4 linked regions of the Oreochromis niloticus genome follow. The protein of the gene in region 1 interacts with the protein of each later gene in a pairwise test. Links are inferred from orthologs where the notes say so. Each region holds a gene or a part of one and is shown in the gene's direction. Other genes may lie near its edges. The genes, in order: disc1, sparcl1, arih2 and smc3.

Evidence for each region.
Region 2: the proteins of disc1 (region 1) and sparcl1 interact in a two-hybrid assay, tested with the Homo sapiens proteins (2 studies listed by BioGRID and IntAct). The link is inferred for Oreochromis niloticus from reciprocal best matches to the Homo sapiens genes DISC1 and SPARCL1.
Region 3: the proteins of disc1 (region 1) and arih2 interact in a two-hybrid assay, tested with the Homo sapiens proteins (2 studies listed by BioGRID and IntAct). The link is inferred for Oreochromis niloticus from reciprocal best matches to the Homo sapiens genes DISC1 and ARIH2.
Region 4: the proteins of disc1 (region 1) and smc3 interact in a two-hybrid assay, tested with the Homo sapiens proteins (2 studies listed by BioGRID and IntAct). The link is inferred for Oreochromis niloticus from reciprocal best matches to the Homo sapiens genes DISC1 and SMC3.

Annotation. Positions count from the first base shown.
Region 1 is NC_031978.2:23,847,421-23,854,859, forward strand, and holds the start of disc1 (disrupted in schizophrenia 1 protein), read left to right. Parts: upstream 1-4,439; 5' UTR 4,440-4,481; coding exon 4,482-4,590; intron 4,591-6,701; coding exon 6,702-7,439. UniProt on the Homo sapiens protein: Involved in the regulation of multiple aspects of embryonic and adult neurogenesis. Required for neural progenitor proliferation in the ventrical/subventrical zone during embryonic brain development and in the adult dentate gyrus of the hippocampus.
Region 2 is NC_031971.2:19,486,313-19,494,150, forward strand, and holds the start of sparcl1 (SPARC-like protein 1), read left to right. Parts: upstream 1-4,834; 5' UTR 4,835-4,981; intron 4,982-6,035; 5' UTR 6,036-6,037; coding exon 6,038-6,091; intron 6,092-6,219; coding exon 6,220-6,285; intron 6,286-6,387; coding exon 6,388-7,425; intron 7,426-7,838. Other genes in the region: scpp1 (secretory calcium-binding phosphoprotein 1), read right to left, coding at 65-118, 685-732, 1,081-1,134.
Region 3 is NC_031984.2:25,584,404-25,591,857, reverse strand, and holds the start of arih2 (E3 ubiquitin-protein ligase ARIH2), read left to right. Parts: upstream 1-4,444; 5' UTR 4,445-4,545; intron 4,546-5,996; exon of another isoform or gene 5,997-6,154; intron 6,155-6,231; exon of another isoform or gene 6,232-6,506; intron 6,507-7,454. Other genes in the region: xpc (DNA repair protein complementing XP-C cells), read left to right, coding at 1,189-1,320, 1,445-1,614, 2,214-2,307, 2,552-2,884.
Region 4 is NC_031971.2:30,160,579-30,167,794, reverse strand, and holds the start of smc3 (structural maintenance of chromosomes protein 3), read left to right. Parts: upstream 1-4,201; 5' UTR 4,202-4,389; coding exon 4,390-4,404; intron 4,405-5,071; coding exon 5,072-5,147; intron 5,148-5,278; coding exon 5,279-5,317; intron 5,318-5,425; coding exon 5,426-5,493; intron 5,494-5,754; coding exon 5,755-5,826; intron 5,827-6,423; coding exon 6,424-6,503; intron 6,504-6,601; coding exon 6,602-6,680; intron 6,681-7,041; coding exon 7,042-7,159; intron 7,160-7,216. Other genes in the region: dusp5 (dual specificity protein phosphatase 5), read left to right, coding at 363-582, 2,623-3,029. UniProt on the Homo sapiens protein: Central component of cohesin, a complex required for chromosome cohesion during the cell cycle. The cohesin complex may form a large proteinaceous ring within which sister chromatids can be trapped.

The DNA of each region.
Region 1 (7,439 bases):
TCAGTGTGGAGGAGGAACATGTGACCTTTGCACATTGCACACCCCTATTCTCCAGCAGACACACACACACATACTCACAAACAACCCCTTGTCCTAGATTTGGAACGAGAGGAGGAATATTCCTGGTAGAGTGCTGATATCATGCTTCACCTCATGGTGTTTGTTATTGTACGGTGACAAATGAGCCTCCATGCTAAGAAAATAATGATAGCATAGTCTGTCGTTGAAAATAGATGCCTTTATTCACGATGGGGCCAAAACAATTTTATTGCCAGATTTCACCTCAGAGGAAATGTTATTTTATGATTCACATTAGTCACCTTTAGGTCTGTATACATATCACATTTTGATCTCGCATATATTAGAAAAAAACAAAACTATGACAAATTATATTTTGTAAAAACAATTTAGGCTATTTGTAATTAAGTAACTATTTTGTATTGATATGAACTAGATCATTTTGATGTGGTATAAGTTTGTCCCTTTTTATGACTGTAATAGAGAGAGTCCAAATAATTTAGGTCTGCCATCTGCTGGGCAATTTCAGAACTATGTATGCAAACAGATACATGTAGAGAGAAAATAAAGTTTTGGCCTCCTTTTACACTCCAAAGCCAAGCCATCCATTTACAAAGGAGATGATCAGCAGCCAGAGGTTAAAGAGGGGGTTAAAGGTGGGACCGGAAATTATAGCAGGCGATGATAAGGGGGCCTAACTCCCCATTTTCCTGTAGAAATAAAGGTCCTCTGCTTCACTGTGAATATATAACTATCTAAATATAAATAATACTACATGCAGTGAATGTTTGACTGCATGGGTATTTGTATGAACCTCAGTCCGCTACTTACTATTCCTAACTGCTTTACTTTGTACAACTATAACTATAATATATCACAGTGGTTCCATCTTGTGCTTAAGTCCAGCTATTATATTATTACTGGGTTACTACGTCTCCTCCTAATTTGTGCAACAGGCAACTACGTCTCCTACTGTATGTAGTTATTACATAGGAGGCCTGTGCACATTATAATCAGTGCAACGCACTGAATTTTTTAAGTTATTTTTTTTTTAACCTAAAATGGTTGTTCGGACTTTAGCGCCCCATTTATATAAATAAACAAATGAATAAATAAATCCTGGAACAACTCTAATCCAGAGATTTGCTGTAAGTCTACTATCTGGACTATGGCAGACCAGAAACCACTCTTAACATCTTTGTCAGTAAGTGCTATAAAACTTACAATGATTCAGACCTTTGGCTGGGATCAAATGACTACTCTCGTGGTCATGCTTAAAAACTTCCTGGTTCCATATAAAGGAGAAAGTCAAAAAACTGGCATGGGCTTTTTTATTAGGAGAAAAGAATGCTGTGAAATCCACAATTAGACTATTTAAATGTGATACTATATATTTGTGTATACAGTGACATAAAATCTATTTATATGATGCATCAAATGAATATTTTGTGAATACGACTAAATCAGGAAACACGTAGCATATGGTTGTGGTTATGTATGAAATCAAAGTTGGATGTAAACGTGTAAAGGTTTGATGTAAAAGTAAAAACGTGTACACACACTTTTGGGAAATGTAAAGAAAAAAAGTTGCTTCTTAACTTATTGTAGTTGATAAACTAATATATTATATCTGTGTGAAGTCTGACATCTGCTGGTCAAAGTCAGCAACACAGCTACGGCACTGTAAAAATGCATTTGATGGATGCATTGAATGCATAGCTGATGAAGGGAAAGAGCAAGCTAAACCTAACAGAGCAGGAACTAATGTGCTATTAGTCAACAACTACGTGTTTATCCTTTGATTAATTCATCTTTTATCCTTGCAATCACTCTTTTCCTGACTGCTTAATTATTTCATAAATGCCCTCATACATAGAACAGATGTGATTACATCATTTTTATACGTTTCATCTGCTCCCTCATAGACACCGTGTGTAATTTTAGCATCTTCTTTCTGGGTTTTTCACATAATATGGTGTTTCTTATGTCTTAAAACAAGTCATCACAAATGTGCCCTGTCCTTTTAGATGCAGTGGCACAGAGGTAAGCCAAAAACTAAAACTTGAGAGGTTAGTCAAAGGGCTTCTCCTGGAAACCAGCCAGCCTGTGGGGCAGTGCGCTGATGTCAAAAATGCATTAAGGGCCTCTAATCTTTAACAGAGAGCAGGTGATGGCACTCTGCATGCCAGGCGACGTGTTTCATCCCTGCTCTTACCCTAGCTGCGTGTAAGTCCTGCATTCTGTCTGTAGAACAGAGCTTTTTGTCTCTGAGTATTGTTCATGAGCCAGGCGAGCTGAATGAAAGGAGAACTGGGATGAGTGGTGTGTGAAGGGGTGGATGAAAAGACTGCGCTATGTGAGGTCTAGGGTTTGGTGCTCACTGCCGAAAGAAAGAAACACATTAAGATGTGTAAGGGAGTAAAGACCTGCTATACTGTGATTTAAATGACTGAATCACACGCTTCCTGTGTGTATAAATTTGAACTTAATAGTATTTGTGACTTAATAGTAGAGAGGTGTTTTTTCCCCCCATAAATTTCCTCCACAATCTTCAGTGACACTAAAATACAGCACATATAAACATAAAGATAAACAACAGCGTTGTTTAATCCGGTTCCGTGTCCGCTGCTACTTCCACAGTGTGCCCGCTGTGGTTATGAGGCGGTCTGAAGGAGTCTGGAGTCAAATTCCTGAACACGTAAGAGCTCCAACGCGACGCATGACGCAAGGGCGCAGCGACTAACGGATTACTGATCAACTGATCGATGTGTCGACTAACAGACAGATTTGCCTGGGCTCTGTACTTCTGCCACTGCACACCACCGCTGGTTGTGTTTTCCATACTTTTCCCACAAGGAACAGCACGACGTGAAGTCCATCTTCTTTCTCCAGACCGTCAGTTCAGGCGCAGCGGGACCCACTTTTTTCCAACAGGGGGGAGAAATGTAAGAATCTGATGTACCATAAATGTTTGTGTCAAGAAATTTTCATCAGGGACAAAACAGCGCGCTGGGAAGCCGTTTTCACCCGTCACTCACTGTGTGCAGTGAAAATATAGCAGCCCGGGTTCACTTTTCCATAACGGAAATGAGATCAGTCCCTTTGCCTGGCTCCACTTCTTCTAAAACATGGTCGATGTAACTCTATGCAGGCTTGTGCCACCGGGGTCTGACTTTCTTTGACTTTTCAACACAAACAGCCTTTTTTTTAATGGAAAAATGTTCGCTGGACTGATGGGACTGGAATGCCACAGCAACTCTCTACTTCACCGCCGCGAAGCCATTCAAGGTAAAACACAAGATTTTTAACTATCAGCTGATGTTCTCACACTAACACTGGTCTTTTACAGGATATATATACCCCCCAGGAACTACATACAACTTTAATACACCGAAATTGGATAAAATAGTAATATTAGGATGTACTAAGCCGGCAGTTTTTAGGGAGGGATAATCATCAGATGATTAAACAAAAGCAGAACAGCCGCAGTGAAGACTCATAGCCTGTTTAATAATGCATTGCCCGGAATGTGTATGAAAGTTCACAGTTCCCTGGATCATAAAGGTTTAAAGTCTCCCTACCAGTCACTCTTGGATGAGTAATGATAGATGATGAGTTGGAAATGATTAAATACTTAAATAATATGTTCCTCACCTCTTTAGACAAAGTAGAGAAGCATTTTCCTGGATATTGTCTCTATTTGGGTCTTTTAACATGTTTTACACAAATAAAATGGGCTTAACTAATAAATAGAAATGTGATCCAAGTCTGTTCATGCAGGATGCCGGTAATCAGACCTCCATTAGACCCATTTATCAGACTGTTATGATCTCGCTACATGCAACAGGGTAACTGCTGCAGTTAAAAGGCTGCTAGATGTGGCAAACCTTAGATAAAAATCTATTTCCCAAAGTGCTTTCGAAACAGCTTCTGCTGTGAGTAGATTTTTCCCTGGTCTCTGGTTTCTGTTGTGTGACATTTTTGAATGAATCTAATCTACAAAAAATATCAAAATGTCTATTAAAGAGTACGTGCAGTGTGTAAATGAATCTCTATAACACAGACTCAACTGATCCTCATGTGATTACAGTCTGACAAGAGCATAGCAGAGACGCAATCCTTGGAATATCCCCACCCTTTAACCTACCGTGCAAAATGGAGAGATAAGGGCCAAGATTTAGGACCAAAGATAGGACTTGGCATTGGAGCATACTGTATTGTTGGGTTTTCATCCACTTATGTAGTCATTTCTTTAGTAAGATGAATAGATATCACTGCTAACTTTCACTTCCCCTTTTTGTGACGCTCTGTTTGGTCACAAGTGGCGAGGTTTCGCACATCTGCCGAGCAGTGCTGCTTCTCAGGAGGTTGCTGACATGCAGATCCGCTTGTGTGTGTGTGTGTTGTGTGTGTGTGTGTGTGTCAGAGGGTGCTGAGCTTGTTCCTCAAATGTTTGTGTTTTTATGAGATCCCCTGCATTCCTCTCTGTCTTTGGCTCAAGCACTTTCAGTGCCCAACTGGATGCAGTGTTTAACCTAAGGGTGCTGAGGAGGGCCTCTTTAATCTCCAAAGGTAAATAATCTCGCCTCTTCTGGCTGACATGCTTCTTTTTCTCAGGCTCTCTGCACAGTTTCTTCAGCACTGATAACATGCTACAGTGAGAATGCTGTCATTGTGGCAGAGGGACTGTTTTATCTTTGGTGTTGAACCACAGAACGTCACTGCTTGCTTGTTTGTATTTTCTGCCTGAATTCCTGGCGAACTATTTTAGCTCAAAGCCCGACAGGAAGTAGAAAATACCTCTGAGGGGGTTCAGCCAAAAAATAGATGCCCCTCTGACACACACACAAGCCAGCAGACACAAAACAATAGGCCCCGAGGCATTTCCTTCCCCTTAAACCGGGAAGAGCTCTCTTTGTGTAATCGAAGTATGGCGAGGATACAGTAACGTCCCTCTTCTTTTGACTGCTTAGTTCTTGATAGAAGGCTTAGTATAACATCTAGCCACACCAGATGGTAGACAGTGTGCGGTTGTAGCTGTAACCCACAGATAGTGTTGGGTTTCTTACATCAGTTATGGACCAGTGGCCACGTCTGCAAGGACCCTCTAATGGACCTGTGTGTAACCCAAGCTTCGGTCCCAGTGGACAGAAAGCTCTAAGTGGCACACACACACACGCACAAACAGAAAAACACTGTGTCTACAATGGGAGCATCCCTGTGTTACTCTCACTTGAAATACTGCTATCACTGGTCTCTATTTGAGTCTCTTACAGTCTCATGGGATAGTTTAGGAGTGGCATCGTCGAGGTTACTGGGTGTTGGGAAGTGGGCTGTGGTTTGCTCATCGGTCATGCTTTGTTCAATGCCCCGCATTCCTGTCTTGATAATTGTGCTCCCACTGCAAAAAACACATTATTTGTAGAGGTTTACAGTTGTGTAAGATGTTGTTTTTATGTGTTTGTTTGCGTTTTCTACTTTTGGATTTGTTTTTATCGTAGTTAAAGCGTTTAACAGGCTTTTACACTGACAATAGTACAACTGATCCCAGTGTTTTCAGCACTGTCAGTGTGCCTCTGTGTGACTTCAGTGTTCGTGAGTGGGAGGAGAAAGCAAGAGCCAGAAGTGAAAGAAGGAGCAGCGCAGCTGTACACAAAGGGGCTGTTGATCCCCAGCGTTTGAGCGCGCCTCCTCGTCTGAATCCTAAACATGATATGTATTAATCACGTGGCCCTGCAGCAGGTGTCTGACTCCCATCACAATCTGGTCTTTATCATTACGCTCCACTTTCAGACCAAACGCTGTTTGCATGCATGTTTGTATCACTTCTTGATACTAAGATTGGCAGTGTCTGTGCTTCACAAGCTATTTCGGTTACGCCCCCTTTACAAAAAACATGGATTTCGTAATAACTGAAAAGTTTTGAGACAAGCCACCTCTTCTGTGAGTGCAGTCCAAGTGGGTTTGATAAAGCGAGGCTAATCAGTATTGTTTTAAACAAAGGTGTTTTCCACATCCTTCAGTTCATTGCTTTGGCTGGAAGACTCACAGGTTTTAGCACCCCGTCAGAAATAGATCTCAGTTAAACTCTATCAGCCTTATTGCTTTAAGAAAAAGAGAGAAGCTGAATGGTTATAAAAACAATAGCATCATCAGTGCCGGTTTGTTAGTGGACCAACATGAATCAGACATTGCCTGTGTGCCCTTTGCCCTATATTTCAGTGAAATAGACCGATTTAAGGCTCCAGATCCAGGTGTGAGCCCCCTGCTATGCTTTGAGAACCTGCCCTCTGAAGAATTTTGCTATTTGCAAAAATAAAAAAATGCAAATCTAACCTCAGAATATATTGTTCATGCATCTGGTATCCCACAGAGAGGAATGTCTTAACTTATAAATGACTGTGCAGCTTTGGTATTTCCCAACAGCTGGAGCAGAACCCTGGGAAATGTCACACATCTGCCCAACTTTTTTAATTCAGTCCATTAGGCACTATCTTTAAAGAACAAGGTCATTTTGCTGGATCACAGCTGCTTCGGGTACTTGTGTAATTAGCACATGTAGCATTACATCTTCCTGCTGTAGCTGATGATTACATGGTTAATCCTACCAGTTCTATGAGGTCATGCGTTATCTTCCTCATGGCCATGTTGTCAAGCTTAATGGTTAATCTCTGCATCGACAGGTGGCAGAGCATCAGGGACAGCTGGCAGCTCCAGCCGTAAGAGGCTCCACCGAAGACCAGGGTACATGAGAGGAGAGCAGTGCAGACTGCAGAGCGCCACTCAGGAAGAGGAGGAGGATGTTGGGACAGCCACTTTTATTACCAATGGAAAATCAGGATGTGACGCTGATATAGATGATGCAACTAATGCTCAAAGGCCAAGTCCAGCTGCTGCAGACAGTGTGTCTTTAATAAATCATCAACAGCCTGATAAACACACGTGTAGCTCCTGGAAGACTCAGAGCTTTGTCTGCTCTGTTACCCACCCTCCTTCCCCTGTGAACTGCAATTCTAAGAGTACATCCAGCCATCTGGGCCAGTCCTCACTGCCCCACAATGAACTCAGGTTAAGTTCGAGCCTGGACACTCATTCAGAGCCAGAGGACTCTTTTAACTCCAGCTTCAGTTTCATCCAACAGTCACTTACCTCCAGCCAGAAAACAACCGCCACACCCACACAAGAACAAGAACTAAGTTCATCAACAAAAGCATCTGACCTGCCTCAGACAAAACCTGAAACCTTACCTGTCGAGCACAATTTCCCTAAGCAGTCGTCTCCTGCTCAAACACTACCTGGAGGAAAGTTTTGGCGAGAATGCCTGTTTGCCGCCCACGTAGAAAGATCCCACGTGCCCGACTGTGAGGCCCAGTCTGTTGATATAGAGGTCACCTCCTCACTCTCCCTGGACTCGGACAGTA
Region 2 (7,838 bases), on another chromosome or scaffold:
ATGTGATGGAAAGAGTCAGGAAAAATAACCATTTACTCATTACTGAAATAAATGTACACATTACCTGAAGCTCTGAGGTGTCATTTTCAGACGATTGTGAAACAGACACACTTTCAGTCTGGAAAAACAAAACAAAGTAAGGGTGGAGAAGAATGTATTTTAATTATATGCTAAAACTGCAGCATCAACAATCATCATTCATTTAAGATTTCATTCATGTCAACCCTTGCTTGGGTAAGCTATTACTGCCTGAATGGGTGCAGACATAAAGTATAGTAAACAATAGTTTCTGAAATGGGAATCATCTTGAGGTCTGGAGAAACTTCCAGTACCCACGCCCATTGTTAGCTTTTTCTGCTGACTGTGTTCGAGGAATTCAGCTTTACTTCAGGCAGACTGTATAGTTTAGTAGTTTATGTATAGTTCCTGAAATACACTCAAATGTATAGAAGCTCAAATGTATTAAAAGAAAATCATTGCCAAAATTTAAACTTACTAATTCAAACATCTGAAAAAACTTGAATTTTTAAATTATTAAGTTAAACTTTAAATTATTGGTGGAATTATTTACTTTCTTTTCTCTCTCTCTTTCCCAGTAGCAGAAACAAGGTCCATACAAATGTGATTTGGAATTTGGAAAAAAATTATTAAAAAAATTATTTGTGATTTGAAAATGCTACTTACTGAGTTTGATGCAACCTCGCTTGATACTGAAACAACAGTGTGTAAAATCTGTCAGAATGGAAACGGAAAACATGGTTATTTAAAGGACAACACTTTTTTAAATTATTATTTCTAAAAATACACATAGTTATGACATGCCTTAGATGCATGTTACCTTATTATTTTACTAATAGCAAGTATTATTAAGCTTATTTGTACCTAGTATTATTTATTTTTATGTTTTAACTGTGTCCTTGAACCTCAGTAATTCTTTCAAATAAACAAAAATACACAGCATGCTAGACGGGAGGATATTTTGTCTATCTGAAAGTTATGTAAAAAAAATTATGGTGAAAAAATATTTCAAATTTTAGACCGCTTTAATAATTTATTGTTGTTTTCTGCTTTCATACTCACCGGGTTGGAAAAAACTGTTCCAATCAGGCAAAATGTTATGATGGGAACCTTCATTCTGTTAAAATAAGTATCAAATTATTATTCTCTTTAAGTTCAGTTCAGTTTAAGAGTAACTACTATGGTGCATTAACAAAAAACACCTCCCCCCAAAATAGGGTCACATCAATTTACTCTTGGGTTTAAGCTTCTAGATGTTAAGTTACTACAAACCAAAGCGACAATTCAAAACTTTCAAAGGTGTTATCACTAAAGTAAGAATTGTGATCAAAAGTAATAATAATAATAATAATAATGCATAATTGTTTACCTTACTTCAGTTGGTTTCAGAGGTAATGTAAAAAGATGCAGCTGGTGCTCCTCGTTCAGTCTATAAGGAGAATCCGGAGTCTGTCCTGAACCTCGAATGGAAGCTGGTAGTTGAAGTAAAAGCACGATGCGTGGATATGCTGGAGGGAACTCCAAGGACTACTGTATATAAGTATTCTCATTTAAGGTGATTGCATCACTTCCTTCCGGACGTGTCTTTTTTGTCGTCATGCGAAGGTGTATTTGTTCCGGAGAGGGAGTTCAGAAAACACACAGTGGCGTGATGATGATTGTACACACACATACACATACACACATACTGTGCGCTCTTTTATTCAGTCACCAAATTTCCTACACCCCCTCTCACGTCTTTAGTGAAATATAATTTAGGTAACTAAACTATAGGGTTTGTGGCCTGTTAAAAAAATAAACTCACCCACTCAGAGAGGAAAAGAGGGCTAGACAGTTTCATGCTTGTTTCCGGTGAAACTTTTTTTTTCCTTTTCCCCTCCTTCCCTTTCTATTTGGAATTTTGTTATTGTCAGATGATGGATTATATGGAACAGGTCATAAGTAGTATAAGTGCAAGGGGCATAAAGTTTTCAATATAAAGTTGGTTTAAATTGAGAAAATTAAACACTGCCTTTCATAATACTTGTGGCAACATCACATAAGTGGATTAACACACCCCCACACATATACACGCACACTATGACAAAGTACAATATTAATTCAGTCTATTAAAACAAAAACAAACCATATTTTGCCTTCACTGCTAAACGATGTTATTGGAAATTGTGTTTTTGGAACATTAAGCATGTACAGTATGTACAAATAAAGGCTTCTATATATTTCCATCCTGTGGCATATAATCGCTTCCTGGATATACTTATATGGCCAGGCCCAAAAAAAGCTTAGAGAATTCCTTGTTTAACCTCACTTTGGATTTCAGCTAAGCAAAAGAAACCTGTAATTAGACTGAATGTTCACCAGTCCAGCGCTATCCACCAAAACCACAGGGGAGGAGTGGAGGAGAAGATGATTGATGCTTGTTGTGATACGCAGACAGTCAACAGTGTCTGCACGTTCACCCTAACGTTACTTAAGGTTTAATGATGTAATTATCTTTGTCAGCCAGGCATTTGATGCATCTGTGGTATTAATATTCTTACTGAAACTAGGCATTTGTAAGACTGTTAATTTAGAGGTAGTACACCAGCGTGACCCTTGAGATTGCGTGCAGTGTAATAATTTTCTTCTATTTTGCTTTTTTTTACCTAAATATGTTTGAATTGGTTGCTAATTATGGGGAAACAGTGGAGTAATGCAAGATAGTGATGAATAGTGAAATATGATTTTACAAAAAACAACATCATGATATCATGATGTTGATGCTACATTGTGCATGTTTTACTCAGCTTGTATAAAATAAGATGACATCTTTCCATAAATGCCTCGTGGAACTGACTGATTGATTTACAACATTTTGTAATAGAAATCAAAGCTTGTGCTTCCCAGCTTTGATGAACAGTCTAACAAAGTAATGTATTTTTTCACTGAAGAGGCTTGTGTTTAAAGCTGGTGTGTTGATTCTTTGAATATCAATTAATTAAGGTAAAACTGCAGTTTCTGAGCGATTTTGTCATGTCCTTGCTACTTTCATCATTTACCCTCATCATACTGCAGTTTCTTAGCCTCTTTAAGAGTACAGACTTTAGTTTTTGTGACATCTAGTGGCCAAAATTATGTATTGTTTCTGTCCTAAAACAATGTGGTCATGTTGGTTTGGACTGGGTTCATTCTGCCATAAACAACCTGCTCATAGTACTTTTCAAATTTTCACAAACAACAGTAACCAGAAATTATGTTCATTATGAGGCTTATCCATCCATTATCATGGGTACATTTTTGTTATACTTACACTTCTTTGTTAAATAATCCAGTTATTTCCACAGCATACCCCAAAGAGTGCAAAATCCATTCAATAGAAAGCTTAATGAGTACTTCAATGATTGTTGAACTATTTAAATGAAAGTAAACGTTTGATTCATTATTTTGTCAGGTGTGCTATACAAAAAAAAAACCAAACAAAAAACCAACGTGTCACTGAAGAAATACTACACATCTAAACAAGCATGTTTTTTTATTGCAGGGGTGGGAGACTCCAGGCCTCGAGGGCCAGTGTCCTGCAGGTTTTAGATTTCACCCTGGGTCAACACACCTGAATCAAATGATTTGTTCATTACCAGGCCTCTGGAGAACTTCAAGACATGTAGAGCAGGTAATTTAGCCATTTAATTCAGCTGTGTTGGATCCAGGACACATCTAAAACTTGCACCGGCCCTTGAGGCCCTGAGTTCCCCACCCCTGGTTTATTGAGTCTATTCATACGAAATTTGAGGTTTTCTGTCTAACTCATATGGAAATCTGAAGTTTGAGTTTGATAATGGGTTTTCTGTTGGCTGATGTCATCAAGGATGAATACAGCTGACAAACAAAGTAACATAAGTGACAGGACACACTAGTAGAAACATAGAAGAAGTAGCAGAAAATTATTTTCTCTCAGTTTTCCCTAATATAAAACCCTTCTCTCAGGATCAGCATCATGGTAAGCCCTGTACTGGTGCTTCTCTTCAGCAGATGATAAACTCTTTGCAAAAACAGACTTTGTACAATTCTAAAATGCTGTTTTAGTCAATTTTTGGTTTGACCTTCTTTAGTCCTCAACAGGGCCTGAACTCTCTTAGACAAGCTTTCTTGTCATTTCGTCAAGCAGTCTTCGGGAATAGTACTCCAGGCTTCTTGAAGAAGAAGCCTGGAGTACTATGATGTTGGCTGCCTTTTGTTCTGCTCTCTGTCAGGATGAGCTAACACTGCTTCAATAATGTTGAGGTCTGGGATCTGAGGAGGACAATCCACATGTTCAGTGTTCTACAGTGTGTTTTTGTATACAGATATGCTTTTACTGCAGCAGTGTTTTTGGGATCATTTGCTGAAAAATGAACCAGATGGTACTGGATAGTAGGTCGAAATCTGACAGCACTTTTCTGTGCTTGTAATTGGATTAATTAGATTAATCCCCAACACCACTGGCTGAAATGCTGCCCAAACCATAACAGAGCTTCCGTAGTGTTTAACAGATGGCTGTAGACTCTGTTGTCCCTCTCTCCTGAACTCCTCTATACATGCATGCAAATTAAAGAGCTTATCTTCAGTAACAAAAATTAAACCTGTCAAAATCTGTTACGAACCCTGGAGCGTTCTTTTTAAAATTTATTGTCATTTTTTGGGAAACAGACACACTGCATATTTTTTGAAGTTGATCGCCCAACAGAAGCTCAGTGTGGGAGTGGGATCCCTTTGTCTGCCTCTCTCTTTATCTCTGTTGCCCAAAGGCCCTCCCAAAGTTAGCAGTGGCATCCTAAACCCTGAAAAAAAAACTGTATGTGTGTCTCTGTGTGTGTGTTGCATGCTTGGTTTGTGTGGACAGAGTGTGCACTGTCTTGAATACAAAAGGACATCTTCACAGGCTCAGCATAGGCACGCTCTGCTGTTTGTGCGGGATACTCATTTTTCTTGCGACTGCCAGCCTCAGGTAAAATTCTAATTCCCGAGACACACAGAGTTTCATTTCTCATTTATTTAACCTTTATTTATGCAGGTAGTTCTACTGAAGCTCAATGTCTCCTTTACAAGACAGACCTGTTTCAGACACACATATTACAATTACAGCAATAAAATAAACAATACAATAGCTAAAATTAATAGTGCTTTGCAACTCCATTTATATATAGCAAAACAGTGATGTGTGTTTGACATTCATCTTGTTCAGTTACTGCATTTAAACTGTGTGTGGCAACTGCTGGCTTGATTACTTAGGGCCACAATTTTATGCTGGTGAGCTTTTGAAAGCGATGCTTTGTTATTTTTGTAGAAAGTGGTAGCACTAGTTAATATACACTCCATATTTGGAAGTACTAATTTGTTGCATTTTAATTTAGAGAAATATCATATCTAAATGTTTTTATAATGTCTATAAATTTTTATTAAAGATGTAGCAATCATGTAATAGAGTAGTTATAGTAGTGTCTGATAACTTTTAAATTATTCAAAGTATAAAGACTAATTTATCACTTTGGTGTGTACACCCTCTCTCGCCTGCATTACATTCAGGTCTGAGAGCTGTGCTGAGAACTATTTTACCAGACAGACCCAGTAATGTCTGTGTCGTTGGGCTCCAGAGACACAAAAAGTTTGTGGACTTAGTCAAATTTTTCCAGTCTGGTAGCTTCTGGTGTTTACTTTAGCTCTGAATGTGACTTTTGAGAGCGAGGCACATATCAGAGGCCTGTAACCTTGGCGATAGTGGAGGCTGGGCCCACAGCTCTGCTCGTCATGAATGTGCTGGCAGCATACAGATGCATTCAGTTGTTTCCACTTTGAAAGATGTGCCAAGTTCACATCTTTGTTGTGGAAATGGAGAAGCCAGAGTAGAATGTATTGATAGATCATGAACAGCTTTTTAGCCTTTAGTGTAATAATTTTCTCAAATATTCAATTCTGTGGTGGTTTCAAAATCTAAAAACTTACATGTTATCCATTTTTAGACAGTTTATCCAAGGTTTAAATGATTAACTTTGATCTTACAGGTATGAGGGCCTGCTTAGTATTCCTTTGCTTACTGGCAGCAACATTTGCTCTGTCTGTGAGTAGCAAAGTTATTCTTCTTCTTAAATTGATGAGCAAAAATGATCAAATACAGAACTTGTCAAAAACATAATATGATAATGTGTGCACCACACAATAAAGAGAGATCTTTCTCATTATCTTCAGGTGAAAAGTAAACCTCATGGAAAGCATCATGGTTTGCATAAGAGTTTGCACACAGCCAAAGAAAAGGTACAGTAGCATCTTCTTCATCTAGAGTTTTAAATTCTAATACTAAATATATTGTGTAATTTTATACATTCAGTAAATATGTTTCCTTTTCTCCTGATTAAGGATGCTATCACAGAGGAAGCCAATAAGCCAAAGATCTTACCCACTTTAGTCACATTTGAGGCCAGCAGCCAGGAGCAGGAAGACGAAGAACTGAGTTCCGAAGACAACGCTAACAAGGACGATGGAGAGAGGGCTGAAAAGCGAGAGAAAAGCAGTGCAGTTCTGTTGAGTGAAGAAGAACTGGTAGACCTCCTGACGAAAGAGGCTGAAGAGGAAGATGAAGCTGAAGTAAGAGAGCTGGAGGAGGAAGAAGTAGAGCCTGACAAACGCAAGGTTGAGTCTAGTGAGGTTGTTGAGGTCACTGAGGATCAGGAGAAGTTGGATGAGAATTCAGAGACAAAGAAACATTTGCTGGATGGGGAAGAAGTGAAGGAAGACAGTGTGGAAGATGTGATAGAGGAGAAGGTCCAGAAGATGACCCATTCAGAAAGGAAGGAAGAGCCTACTGAAGCACTGCTAGAGGAAGATGGCAGCACAGAATCAGTGATTCCAGTCGATCTGGACTATGCTGCTGATAGTAGCCTCCTACAACCTCTACAGACTGCATCGGCTAATGACAAAACCCACTCAGATGACACCAAGCCTACTTCAAAAACGGACATCAGACAGAAAGAAACCAGTGGGAAAGAAATGGCCAAAATTACTGATGACTATGAACAAGGCATGCAAAACACAGAGGCAGCACACAGCGAGGAGGTGTCTGATCAGACAGAGGACGAAGATTTCTCAGACCAAGACGTAAGCGCCAAGAAAGAACCTGAAGCAAATGTGGACCATCCAGAGCCAAAGGGCGATGCAGAGCTTGAATTGAGGGCCACTCTATCTGGAAAGGAGGAAGAGAAGAGTAAGAATGTGGGTGGAAGTCACACTAAGGGGAAAACGAGGAAGCAAAAGAAAAACCAAAGGTCAAGGAAGCACTCTCCGGACAGGGAGGAAACACAACCCGGACAAGAAGAGGGCCGACAGGATCCTGAGTCTGAGAGCAGCAGCACTGACAATACAGACCAAAAGACAAAGAGGAGAAGGGCAGGAAAATGGGTAATGCTTATATTACCTATATTTTCTTTCTTTACAGTAGATTATCATTATTATTATTTTGGCCTTTTAGGCATCATTGGATAAAGACAGTATAGAAAGACAGGAAAGCAGGGAGAGAGAAAGAGAGGAAGACAAGTTTAGACTCAAACCCGGGCCTACTGCTCTCCAGCTATATGACATATGGTCACCTGCTCACCCACTGAGCTAAACCAGCACCCTGCTTATCATTATTTTAAACTTACAAAGGTTAAGATAACTTATAATCTCTTGCCTTTAGTCAAGAATACACAAAGAGTTACTGGGCAATCTCAGTGACCCTCAGTTATAAAAAATGATTCTGCTGATTATATTGGTTTTGCAGGCCACAATTTTCCTGTTTTTTCTTAGTCTCACCACTCCGCGGTACCTCTTTT
Region 3 (7,454 bases), on another chromosome or scaffold:
ACAGTGTGAACGGCACAAATCCGATATTTTCAAATCCGATCTGGGTCACTTTCGTATGTGGTACTGAATCCAATACGTATCCGATGTTTTAGAAAGTGACTGCTGTGTGAACAGTCAAGTCGCATTAAATCCGTCTTTTACGTCACTGACACAAGACAGACGCCAATTATCAGCGCCGGAGAAGTGCCCGATAGGACATCGCGAACGATTTCCTACCATCCGGTGAAACTGTTGGGAAGACAACGTTGGAGAAATGTGAACATTTTATTTTTACTGTATTTTCTGCAGATTCTGACAGAAATCTGCAACTATCCTTTGAAGCACCGCTCCTCTAAAACAGCAAAAAGGATCATTATTAGGTCATCTACATTATTATGTAAATAACAAAATAACTTAAAGCAAAAATCTGGAAACATAAAGTCCGAAGTCTTTATATTAAGAGCAATCAGTCAAACAATATTGTTTGCTCTGGGTCTAAACAGAGCGCGTTGTGTGTGACATCTTCCTTTGCGCATGCGGGCCGCTTTGAGCGTTCACACTGGAGAGCGTTTGATGTCGCATTTTATGTGTAGTGTGAACAAGCAGACAAAAAAATCGGATTTGATCAAAAAATCGGAATTGAGCATTAAGACCTGCAGTGTGAACGTAGCCATAGAGCCAAAGCCATACCGGCTCAGACATTGCCCAGCTTAACAAGGTCCACATCAGGCGTTTGGGAACCAGGACATACTGATGAAAAGTGGGCAACAGGAATAAAGCATACATGGACAAGGACTAATAATATGGAATTGATGGAATGCTACCAATATTGCTCCCAGATCTTAAACCTGACCCCATGAATAAACTGTTATTGCTACGGATATATTTGTCTTGAAGAGCGACTGATGTAATTATGAAATGATATAAGGTGTAAAATCTTGCAAACCTTTCCTTTCCTGTTATTGATGTTCTGCTGAGTGCAGATGTATTGAATTCTTCTTGTAGCACTGATGCTATTAAATCCTAGTTCGGCTTAATTGGATCAATTCGATCAACGGCATCGTCAAGGTGACAGGAAGGGGGAATCATAACAGACTGAGGCTGCTTTTTCAGCTAGATCGTACTGAATAGACACACAGATAATGTGGAAACACGAAATGCTTTGGTGACTTTATGAACTCACAATATAAACACGTCTTTTCCTTTCAGATGGTGAAGGGCTTCTCTAATCGTTCCCGTAAGGCCAGGATGATGTCTGAGCTGAAGGATGAGAATGACCTGGCTCTGTTTGGAGAATGGCAAACTGAAGAGTACCAGCCGCCGATAGCCGTGGATGGGAAGGTATCTGTGTGTGTGGGCTTGAGCATCACATTCAGAAGATTAAGCGAAACAAAGTTTTATGAGCAGCATAAGAACCAACAGGATAAAGTGTCAGTGTCATTGTGTTTTTGTATGTTTTCCTCAGGTCCCACGTAATGACTACGGTAATGTCTACCTGTTTAAACCCTGTATGTTGCCGGTGGGCTGTGTTCATATCAGGTTGCCCAACCTGCACCGCGTGGCCAGGAAACTGAACATTGACGCAGCGCCTGCAGTCACAGGTTTCGACTTCCATGGAGGATACTCGCACGCTGTGTAAGATGACTCTAAGGAGCCTTCGGTGGGGTGTAAACACAATTAAGCAGATGGATACGATCATACAGGAGAATCTCATGATGAGCAACTGCACTGAGAGTTAGAATTTCACAATACTGAGGGACTTTCAAAGAATCTCATATTGTGACAGGACGTGTCGACTCCTGTGTTTGATGCATTTTTTGACCCATGCACATCATTATCGATTCCTAGACAGACTCATTAAATCGTAATATTTTCCTAAAAATCAGTTTGTGTTTGTTTTCTACTTACTCTCACTCAGTTTTAGTTGTGAAGGCAGATACTGATAACAGTATCTTTAAATTTCAATCACAACTGTGTGTTTTTTTTTGTTGTTGCTTTTTTGAAAGCTTAATTAGTTGCTTTCCAAATTTAGCCGTATTGTTTCCAGCGAGCTTATTTTCATCTCATTAGTTGGCTTTGGGTAAAATCCCTGTCTGTTAGCATTTGCATGGAATCATTTCAGCGTTTAAAATAAAAAGATCAAAGTCAGCATGTTTAGAAAGAAATGGAATAAATGCACTTGTTACAAACATGTCAAAGCTAAGGGGATATTTGCTTACTTGTGTGTGTTTCAGCACTGACGGCTACATTGCATGTGAGGAGCACGAGGAGGTCCTCAGAGCTGCGTGGGTGGAAGAACAAGAGCTTCAGAAACAGAAGGAGAAAGAGGTGTGTGTGTGTGTGTGTGTGTGTGTGTGTGTGTGTGTGTGTGTGTGTGTGTGTGTGTGTGTGTGTGTGTGTGTGTGTGTGTGTTCTTTCATATCACTAATTTGACAATTATTGATTACAAGCCTGTAAGATTACCAGATTATGTAGTTTAGGTGGGAACTTTAACATAAAGTATCAGCTATTACTTCCAAGTAGAAATCTGTACGCAACAGGCTTAATTTTTTTCTTTTCTTGCAACATCTAGAAAAAAGAGAAGAGGGCCATCTCCAACTGGACTCTGCTGGTGAAAGGACTCCTGATCAGAGAAAGGCTTAAAAAGCGTTACAACAAGAAGAACCAGGGATTGGGGAGCCTTGCTCATGGAGGTGACGCCGAAGGGTTTTCCTCAGATGAGGAGGCTGCTGAGGTTGAAAGTCCGGGAGCTAAGACGGCATCCGAGACTCTAGCAATGTCCTGGCCTCAGAACAGACAAGCAGAGGAGGATGGTGGAAATGCCGGCGGACTGAAGAAGAAGAAGGTAACAAAACGAGAGAAGAAGGGTCAAGAGCAACATTTATTCCCCTTTGAGAAAGTGTGATGTTGGAGACCACCTTCAGGTTTTTGTAAAACAAAGATTGATTCCATTATGCTGTTAAAGAAGCACTTCACTGACTTCTTGCAACATTTAGTTTGGAAGATGTTCACTTCACTTCAAAGCAGGATAAACTGCGTGGGTCACTGAAATACCCCGGAGCCTTTGGAAGTAATGCTGGAAGGAAAGGAAAGGAAATACGGGAAGCGAGGAGAAGGTGACGACGTAAAGCATCACTGTTCATAGCTCCATTTTGGTGTACACTGTATTATAAGATTTTTATATGAGAACTTCATGGACATACAAAATGACAGTAAGAGGGGAAAAAAAACATGCATATGTACAGCAACAGTGTAGGTTGTCATGGAGACTGTGGAAGTGCCCTTCACATCTTCATGTGTATGAAGTGAGTATTAGGCACTGATATCAGGTTTAAATATTCAGTGCTTCAAACTTTGACCAGTACAGACAGGTTTGAACCTGCTGGGCACATTAATGTTGGCGTTTAGAGCTTATGCTGACATGAACAGATAGCTTGTGTGGCAATTAAACACAATACCTCCGGTGCTAACACTACAAATTATAAAGAATAGTAAAAATAAGCACACAGCATCTGTGCTCCTGTCAGCTGCTGCTGTTTTATCACATTCATGTCGGCAGTTTTTTCCCCAACCTGCAGGTCTGACCAAATAAGAGCATAGCTTCTGTTACTGGCTCAATGTAAATGTTTTGTTTTTTTAAAAAAGAAAGTCATTCCGTTGATTTACTTTTGTCAGCTGATTTGTTTTAATACTCACATTGTGTAAAGATCTGACAGAGCCATTGTAAGGAACCAACCACTGTGCACATTTAAGTTGATCTATCTGACTCTATGGATATAGACTCCTCATCTAACAAAGTATATGCAGACTATATGACAGTTTTTAATGAGTGTATAACTTGAAAATCACTAAAACTGTTCTTTCATTTTTGATTTATCTTCAGTGCTTCACTTCCTCTTTGCCTGTTTAGCAGGAGGTTTGCTTATATCTCCTCTTCTCTTTGTCATTGTTTGCATTCAGTATTTCTTTTACACTCATCTGTTTTACATATTTGTCACCATTTTATAACTTTTGGCTGTATATAATTGTTTCCGAAACTGAAGAAAAGACAGAAAAGAAATTACCATCCACAAGTCAAAATTTCAAGTTTAAATTTTAGGATCATATTTTCTTCTAAATTTGAGTTGGTAAATAGAAATTTTGAGATGCCTGACTGTAAATTGTGAGAATTGTGAGATGAAAAAAATTTTTTTGTAATTGTAGATTTTCCATACTACATGTCGTCAAACCATTTAAAAATTGCCAATTGTTCTTGTATGAAATTTATTTTTGTAATAAATGTTCAAATATCTTGAAATAAAAAATGCTGTAGTTTTCTTATAGATTTTGCTATCTATACTTGTTAATTGGACACTTTTATACATCATCAAGATTGCCCCATTAACCACCTTGAAATGGTGAGTAAACACAGGTGTTACTAATCCCATATTAATTATGTTCTTGAAGGTTCAATTGTATTTAGGCACAGAGTCTTGATCACTGTGAACTGCCTGTGTTTACCTACAAAAGGACTGCCAGAAGATGGCCTGACTTTGGCTTGCCTTTCTCTCATTTTCTTATGAAAAGGTAATGATTGTTTACGAGGTTTTTAGGTAGAGTGCAAGGCATTCCTTAAAAGTAAAGACAACATCAGTGTAAACTGCAGAGGTAAAATGTGTCATGTTGCAGCAGTAACAGCTGACTGAACATCAGCTCCATTAGAAGATCCATCTTCTTCCTCAGCAATTCCACCCTATTACCAGACCATTTCCCTCTGGGGCTTAGCCCTCGACTTCTCTCAGGCACTGCTGAGAAGCACAGCAGAGGATAATGCATAGTTTATCAAGCCATCACTCCTATACCTTCATAGCAAAAGAACTGTAAGTGTAATGTTTCAGTCTAGCTGAAGAGCTGCATTAGACTGCCTGCAGTTACAGCTTTAGGAGGAATGGAAACAAAAGCAGGAGCAATTTAGAAATGCAGCTTTATGATGCCAGGATGTATTTGATACCAAAGATGATGAGTTACTGGCACGAAAGGATCGAATTTCATAAAGTGACATTCGAGGATCAGGATAAACAGCACACATATGCACATACATTCAAAAAATATATACACACACAGACACACTCCTGCACTGCCGCTGCACGGCCAGTAGGGGTTGTAGAAGGGCGTAAAACTCGAAACACGTTTAACACAACGATACTCAATTGAAAACCCATTTGCTAACAGCAGTGGAGGAAGTATTCGGATCGTAAAGTACTCGGGTGCAAGTAAAAGCCTTCTTACAGTTACATAGATAAAAGCAACCCGTGTGTCATCGCCAAAGTACCACTAATAATAAAAAAATAAGTACTCCGTGTGGGAAAATATTTAATTAGATTATTATTGATCGTGCATTAATGTAAAACAGGCTTGTGCTTTATAGCTAACAGAGGCAATTTCTAGTTGCAACAAATGGTTAATAAATACTGAGAAATATCACAAGTACTCCGGTTGATAACAAGAGCAGTTGCCAGTTTTCTATCAACCTGGCTCAATTACGAAGGTAAATATGTTGCACTGTGTGAGAACTTTTATCTTGTACGCGTTTGTAAAACATGAAGTTTCTAAAGGTAACTATTTTTTAGATTACTGAACGGGCATAAGGAAACACAGTCTCAGACTATACAGTTACTTATGCAATCTTTATAACCTGGATGGGATTTAGGTGTCACGTTATAAGAGCAATATGCCGGGAGAGAATTTTCTATGTGTGTAAACCATAGACTGTATACAGTGGACATAGGCTACAGTATCCTGAGAAATTTGAATTTAGAATGAATCCTCTTTGCAGCATGAAATCAATAAATCAATCTCTCTGCATAGTGAAGGTCAAACATCCGAGGAAAATTATATTGATCAAAACATGGATTTAACCAGATGTATGTTTGGAAGAAAACAAAACAAAACAAAGCAGACATTTGGTGCTTGAATACTACCGGACAAAACAAGAAGTGCTGCATCTTTCCTTGCAGAGAGAGAGAGAGCAAGGCTGCGAGAGAAACGCGGACGTGACGTCACTGTTAAGTACCCCTGTAACGGTCTATCTTCCGCCTACCAGCCAAGCAAAAGAGTGTAAATCGCTCTTAGGATTTCCTTACTCCAAATTCGCCTCTGGTTGTCACCGCGGGCTGGCTTGACTCTGCACTAAGAGGTAAACCCCACCGACTTTAAACAGTGGAAATTCACGCAGCGGTTGTGTAAACGTGCCTCTTTGCTCCCGAGCTTCTCCAGAGGCCCTTGTTTACATCTCGATCCCCGGACTAGAGTGGATGAGAGGCGGAGGCACAGCGGAAGAGAATGGGGAGGAGGGGTGGCTACCTGGCTAGCTCTTATGTTGTCAATTCTAGTGGGGGAACATATTAAAAGTGTTCCTTGAAAACTTTTGCAAGTGTGTTATGAAGGTGCTCAACAGTCGTAACTCGTCCGAGTCGTGGGTTTGCAATTGCGTGACTTCCTCTGCTCAACAGAAATACCAGCACGCTAGCCAGCTAATCCAGCTAACGGTAAGTTAGCCAGCTGTTGTGTGGATTTAACTTCAGAGGCGCTTTGAGCCGAAACGCTGAAGTCCAGGCACGACCGGGTGCTTATTTGCGTGATTTAATCTCGACTCCCCGCTACCCTCATCCTCCCACAAGACCTGTTATCAAACCTGTGCTGAGTCGCTGTAATACATTAGCCTAGCAAGATGTGTGTCACCCAGTTTGCTGCCTATTTTTATCCTGGATCGGGCGGAATGCGAGCGTTCGTCTGTCTGCCGGGGCCGACTGGCAGGCTTTCCCGGCTAACCTTGTTTTCTGTCCAGTGGATATTTACAAAGTCACATTTTGAACACCGGTGCCAGCAGTCGTCTTTGATCCCGTGTCTGTTGAACAAATCACATGTCGAAATAAGCCTACTAGAGGGGCCTTTGTGCTGTCACTGTTTTAGTTATCCTCAGTGTATTTTCCGTTCAAGAGTGGGGGGATTACTTTGTATTACACGGCGAAGACACACGTTTTCTCAAGAAGTAACAAACGCAGGCTTCTCGCCCATATTTTTTTAAAAAACCAAAACAACACGTCAGGTTCTGTGCAGTGTCGGTTTTAGAAAGTAAATGCAGTTTGTATAAAGCATCTGTCTGTGTTAGACCCCAACCGATATACTGGAGGTCCAATATTAGTGGCTAGAATTAGGTAGGAGTTATCAATGCGTATTGGTGTTTATAATATGGAAGCTTGTTTCCAGCACTGATAATGAAACTTTGGGGCATTGTCTCAAAATTTGTAGCTGGGAGATGCTTAACTTGAACTTATGATATGACCTGAAATGATGGCCTAGCTGTGCCTGGCCCAGTGGTGCAAACAAGCTTGCATATTTATGACTCATAAATGAAAATGTAAAAAGTAAAGAAGAGAATGGTGAAACACCCTTCGCCTGTGTTATGAGTGTTATCGTTGCATAGTTTGATCACC
Region 4 (7,216 bases), on another chromosome or scaffold:
CAGCTGATATCAGGACACCCCATAGAAAAGACAGCCTTTCATCCCTGACCTTTCTGCTATTATTTCCACTGGCTAAATAGAAAACATGTGGCTAGTTTAGATTTCAAAGAGCACTCTGTTGTGTCTGGTTGATGCATTATGGGCTCTTTCAATACCGGGAAATTCCTCTAGCATCCTGCGTCCATTTTGTCTGCAAATGACTGTAATGATCGGCTGGCAGGTGTTTGGATGTTCCTGCTTGGACAATGGTTGTGTCATAGCAGATGGATAAATGCTGGCGATCCCGTGTTATGTTTCCTTAGTAAGCTGTGTCTTGTGAGCTTGACTCATGTCTCTGCTTTCTCCCTCTTTTCCTTCCTCAGGGTAAACCAGTAGAGATCCTGCCTTTCCTCTACCTCGGTAGTGCCTACCATGCCTCCAGACAGGATTATCTCAGCGACCTTCATATCACAGCCTTGCTCAACGTGTCACGCAGGGACCTGCAGCCGGCCAAGGGCCACTATGACTACAAGTGGATCCCTGTGGAGGACAGCCACATGGCCGACATCAGCTCCCACTTCCAGGAGGCAATAGAGTTTATAGGTGAGTTGAGGATAGTAAATGCATTTAACTGTTGATTTCTGCTTCACAGGGTTTGCCTTGAGATGTTTTGCTATCTTAGAATACAGCTGACTCACTAATACTCAAACCAGCTAGGAAAGGGAATAAATAGACCAACATTAGATGGATGTTTTTCCGGCCACAAGATCAGCCTCGGTCTAAATGTATTTATAATCCAGCTTCACCCCAAGGAGTCTCAAAAATACCCACCCTGAGTGAGCGAGATATCTATACATGGATGCATTTATTTTTGAAATGCGTCTTTGTCTTCAAATAGCCTCCCTTTATCGCTGCCGCTCACCTGCTGCCATTCACAAATAGAGGGCTATAAGAAATCCGGCTGTAATCAGTTTAAGTTAATCGCCAGCCTTCAATCCCCCACCAACATATACTGCCTGTCTGCTTTCATTCAGGATTTGCTCACTTCCCCCGTTCCCTTCCGACCTCCCTCCCTTCTTTCCTTGAAAAAGACAATCCCATGCTGTCGTTGGTTCCCAGGCCAAATCACACGGTGCCGGGTGTGGCCAGTCAGTGTGACAACTGGGTGAGCTGTACGTGTTTAGTAATGACCGAGTGGAGGAGGCTGGGGGCTGGCTGGCTGGCATACGTGCATGCATACACAACAGCATTGTTTATGATGGTTGGGTGGAGGATTAATGACAGCTACACAATGAGGGAGGACATCAGTTTTTTTGTTTGCAAGAGGGACTCATTGGCGGACCTGTGGCCCACAGGGCAGCAAATGTGTTACAGAGGAAAAGAGAGTGCGTGGGAGGGAGAGAGGTGTCGGATAATAGCAGCAACAGCAAAAGATGTACAAAATGTGCTGGCGGCTATTTATATCCAGGCATAACCAAGGACAAAGCTCACCCACAAGCAGCTTGGCTGACCCGTATTAGCTGGATAGTATTGTGCATTGTTTGGGGATGCAGCCTACATTTAGGGTGTGTTTGAATAAGCCTGTCCATTACATAAGGCAGTTTTAGCCTACATTCAAAGAGGGCCTCAGCATTTCATCAGGCATGCCAACTGATTAGACACGCAGTACAAACAGATCCTCTGGCCTGCTGGTCTCATAAAATCAATCAATAAATCGGAAACCCTTCCGACCAAGCGGGTGATGTAAACCAGAGAGGAGAAAATAAATTTTATTGACCTCGTGGATGAAAACAGCTGCTGAAGCATGCCATGACATCTCCAGCCAAAGGACGGTAATTAAAACACCCACTGCTGCTGCTGCCCCGCTCTCATAGCGCCCTCCTCTCCAGATGAAGGTTCATTATTCATTCATGTGGTTTTATCGAGAATCAGAGCAGTCAGAAATCAGCCATTCTCCTTCATAAACGCACAGAAGTGGCCCTTAATGTCCCTGTTTAGTAGACGAGGTGATGTGTTGGTGTCGTTACCAGCTCGTGGAACTAAGTGTCAATATGTAGATCAGACTTAGATGCGAGACAGAAAAGAAGACATGTGGGTGTTTGCTTCTAAGAATTCTTGAAACGTGTTGCGAAGGACATTTAGACAGATGTGTGAAAGTGAACTCGTGTGTAGGCCTTAAAACATACTGATGAGTGTGTAGGAGCGAGGCGGCTCCAAATTAGAATACACTTCTCTGTGCCACAGCGAACACCACAGCAGCACCCAGCACCCCCCACAGTGGTGCAGCAGAAAAACAAATCACATGTACAGCTGCACTCTGTGACTAAGTCAAGCCTCCCACGTGTCTCTGTGTGTGCCACTTACAGTAGCAAATGATGTGTGCTCATTTCGTACTACAAAATAAATGGCAAACTAGATGTTCATGAGAAAGAAAGAGAGATAAAATATTTGGGGAAAAGTGTTTATGTAATATAGTGAGAGTGAACGACTAGACAATAGCCCAGTTAAATTTATTTCCTGTTCCAAACTCCTGATTTGAAATCAGTTTGATGCGTGGTTTTCTTATGCTGCGACAAATTTGCCGATGATTAAAGAAAGAGAAATATGCCACGGTCTCACCAGAATCCTCCCTTCTTCTTCCAGATCATGTGAAGCAGTCAGGGGGGAAGGTCCTGGTACACTGCGAAGCAGGCATCTCTCGCTCACCCACCATCTGCATGGCCTACATCATGAGGACCCAGCAGCTGCGGCTTGATGCAGCCTTCGACATCATCAAGCAGCGCCGGGCAGTCATCTCACCAAACTTCAGTTTCATGGGTCAGCTGCTTCAGTTTGAGTCCGAGGTGCTGTCCAATGCACCGGTTCATGCTGCCACACCTGAACCGGCCACGCCCTGTGTCTCGGAGTCCGCTTCCTTTTTTGCCAATGACTTTGCCACTACCTTTAACACCAAAAACTTTGAGCCGTCTGTGTTCACCCTCCCTACCTCTTGCCTGCAGTCCCCAGTCCACCACCAGTTCAAACTGAGCCCAATAACTGCACTGCCTTAAAATAAACTGTGACTGCTTGTAGTCTTACTTGAAAATATAAAAATCAACGCTCTCTCTGTGTGCCTCGTGTTGAATACGGCAGAGCAGATAGACTGGAGATCAGCCACAGACACAAAGAAGAGTCAAAGACAACTGTATTCATAATAGGACTTGAAGCCTATGAAATCCATGGGCTAGAGACACTGATGCTTTTTTCCTGTCTTCTGAACTGCAGTGATGAAACAACACAGCACAGTGATAAACTGCAATATACATGCCTTAGGTTGATATTGTGATTCATTTGCCTACTCACAAACATGGTCAGGCATTTAAACCTAATTTATTTGAAAATGATGGTCTGTTTTTTCAATAATGTGGATAAAAATATGTGTTTAATAAATGTTTTCACTGCAAAAACATTGTTGTCGTGTAATCTTTTATTGTGTATTTGGCAAGTGCCCTTTTTCATGCAAGCCAACATAAACCTCTTCATAAAAACAAGACAAAGGAATGACCAATATTTATGGGTTTAGATAATAAATCCTGTCTAGACAGGCATAAATGCAGCAGTAGAAGCAATAGTGACACCTACAGTGGCTTAGAGCTGGCCCTTGTGACTAGAGGTAAATTTAGATCAGAAGCCTTGCATCTGTTTCTTACCTATAGTCGCCTTCCACATAGCCGTATTTTTTATGCATAATCTATGAAAGCGATGAAACATGTCGCTTTCATAGAAAACTTAAACCAATGTTAATCTGAATTTTGAAACATCAACTCCTAGAAAATAATTAGTCAAAATTACTGTTACAAAACTGTCTGCACTGTGTTATTTAAAGACACTATAAATAATTTTGATAATAATTAATACAATAATTTTGATCATTATTAACACAGTCATTTTTTTTGTTTTTGTTTTTTACCGCTTTTAGTCTTATATTTCCCACTGCTGCTCATCAAAACAATTTTGGCGCCCAGAGCGCAGCCTGCTAGACTGTACCAACTAAACAAACAGAGAGGCGAATAAACAGCAAGATTAAAAGACCTAATGTTATGTCGCAAACATAACCTAACCGTAGATACACATTATATTATTGTTATATTTGAATTTTTACCTTTCATATGAATTATTTAGCTTCCCCACATGTAGGAATATAGTGCAAGGATATCCCTACAACCTGGTTTCACAAATTGGTATCATCCATTCTATCCCGCCCCCGCCGCCATTTTCCATGTTATTCTTTCCTGCCTTACAGTATTTTATGATTTTTAATGCAACAGTTTGATTGTTAAGTTTGGATTATTATAGTTGTGTTTTCTCCAGCTTGGCGCAGGGAGTGTTTCATCTCCAAATTTGCAGAGGAGACGCCCTGGATAAGCAGCCATGTATATTAAACAGGTAAGCTAACGAGACCAGACTGATACGTGTTGCCGACTGTTACTGGTCTAATAACAAGAATTAGGCCAGCTTAACGTTTTTCCACTGAATGATAAATATATTGCTATTATACTTTGAGTGAGGCTTCACTTCACAAAGTAACGTTGATTGGATTGCAAAACTGTGCACAGGCACTCCATAAATGGCAAACGTTGTGTAGCTATCTAGCTAACGTTAGCTAGCGCGATTTGAATTAGTGTAGAAGTGAATTGCCCGTCCCCTTCTCGAGATGCTAAGCTAACGCAACTAGGCCAGCCTTAGGTTTTCTGATTTATATGCTTCTTTTCATTGTTGTTATAACGTGTAATGTTGTATATGATGCAGAATACGAGAGTTTATTGTATAGTTGTCGGCTAACTTGGCATTGTTGATTTCAAGCCTTCAAAAATGTCCTGAATGAAAGTAGCGGTAGACCATCAGAGTGACCATCAGCCAAGGCCCCGTTGCCTCGTTTTACCTGTGATGGTGCTATTCAGCATAAACAGTTGACACATCTTATGTTTAAAAATATTCATAGACCCGGGAGCTCTTTGACCATGTTTACCTATAGTATGCGGTTAAAATGTTGCACTGAAACAGCTGATGTTGTAGTCGGTGTGTTCACGGTGGTCTCTGGTTCCCTGTGCAGGTGATCATTCAGGGGTTCCGAAGTTACAGGGACCAAACTGTGGTAGACCCCTTTAGCCCGAAGCACAATGTCATCGGTATGTGTTCATCCACATCTTTCCATAATTATTTTGTATTGCACCTGAGTTGCTAATCAGGTTTTTCGGATACTTTGTCCTATATGTCACCATATCCTCATTTTGTGTTTATTTTTCCCTTCATCTTACAGTTGGGAGGAATGGATCAGGAAAAAGTAACTTTTTCTATGGTATGAAGCCTCAAAACTTGCTGCAATATAGAATTCAAACATTTAGACTTCAGTGACATTGCTGGTTGTTATCTAAGACTTAACTTCCGTCTCTCTTTTTTTTTTTAGCCATCCAGTTTGTGCTCAGTGATGAATTCAGCCACCTGCGACCTGAACAACGCTTGGCCCTGCTCCATGTAAGTACAGGAAAATGTGAGTCCCATTACTGGGAACATCAGCCTTTAGTGGGAAGGTATGAATGCAAGCATGCTTGCTAAATAACAGATTACTCTCAGTCAAAATCTATGCATTTTTCTACCTGTGCCAATTGGCAAAAATGTTTTTTAAAAATTAACTTTTATCACAGTGCGGGTGATTTTGCTTTAGCTTTGACTAAAATCTCTTTGGTAGATGCCAAAACCTGTGTGTAAAAAATCTCTCTCTCCCTGTCACTGTAGGAGGGAACTGGTCCACGTGTCATTTCGGCTTTTGTGGAGATTATATTTGACAACTCTGACAACCGACTGCCGGTAGGAATGGCAAACATTTCAAATTTATTCTATTACTGTATTTTCTGCTTGATTTCATTGTGGTATTATTTAAACATTTACATAGGCCTCTCAAGGAATATGTGTGTATGTGTTAAATAAACGGTCACTGAGCCGCTTGTGGCTAAACGTGTGTATGATCATATAGCCTTTTTTCAGTGCTGATATTTGTTTCACAATTAAATTTGCATTATTGTTTACATTGGTTTGTATCAAAGTAAACCTCAAAATAAAAAAGGAAAACACAATAAACTAAAGTCAAAACAACCAGCAACATCAACCCTTTTATGCTTTCTTTTGTAACAAGACTCTTAATCTTGGGTATTAAAATGGTGAACATCCTTAGTCCAATTTAAGTTGTTCATGTCATATTGAATATTGAAGTCTCCTGGTGAGAACTGTTATGAAGACCACTGATTGCACTGCGTTGCCTTCAGTACACACAGTCCTTCTTATTCTGATGATGAAGGGCGGATGTCTGTGAAATGTTGTAGCCTGGTAATACTGTGGCATAACCTGCCAATTATCCTCCTCTGTGTGACTCTCAGCTTGCCCAGTGATAAATGCATCTCTTTCTAGATTGACAAAGAGGAAGTCTCCCTTCGTCGTGTCATTGGAGCAAAGAAGGACCAGTACTTTTTAGACAAGAAGATGGTGACGTAAGTATTGTGAGGGATCAGCTGTCCATGTTAAATTTGCCATGTTAAAATTACTGCATGTGTGATTCCATCTATTCTATGCACTCTTCTTGTTGCAGTAAGAATGATGTCATGAACCTTTTGGAGAGTGCTGGCTTCTCTCGGAGTAACCCCTACTACATTGTCAAGCAGGGAAAGGTGAGAGAGGAGTGCAGTGCCAGGCTCACTTTTTTTTTTCCTTTTTTTTTTAATGCACAGTAGTTTTGGGTGATGTGAAATGAATTGCATTCTTCAAGCAGTGGTCATTGGGTGAGTGTTTCTAGTTGAACAGACAGTAAAACAGTGTTGTCCTCGCTATTTATTTACCTTAGTCTGTTTTGCAAAAAACTAAGAGTATTAGTAGACTAAATAATTGATGTTAATTAAAAAAAAGATAATCATTTAATCATTAATTAATTATAATCATTATCATTATCATTATCATTTATTTTCTGATAGGAATATCTCAGAGGTACACCAGATATTTGGAAAATTTACCTTATGTTACTGTTTTGTGTAGATCAACCAAATGGCCACAGCACCTGACTCACAGCGTCTAAAGCTGCTGAGAGAGGTGGCAGGGACACGAGTATATGATGAACGCAAAGAGGAGAGTATTTCCCTCATGAAGGAGACAGGTAAATGCTTTTGAATACCTTTCATTTTGTACAAACATTGATTGGTTGATTTTAATT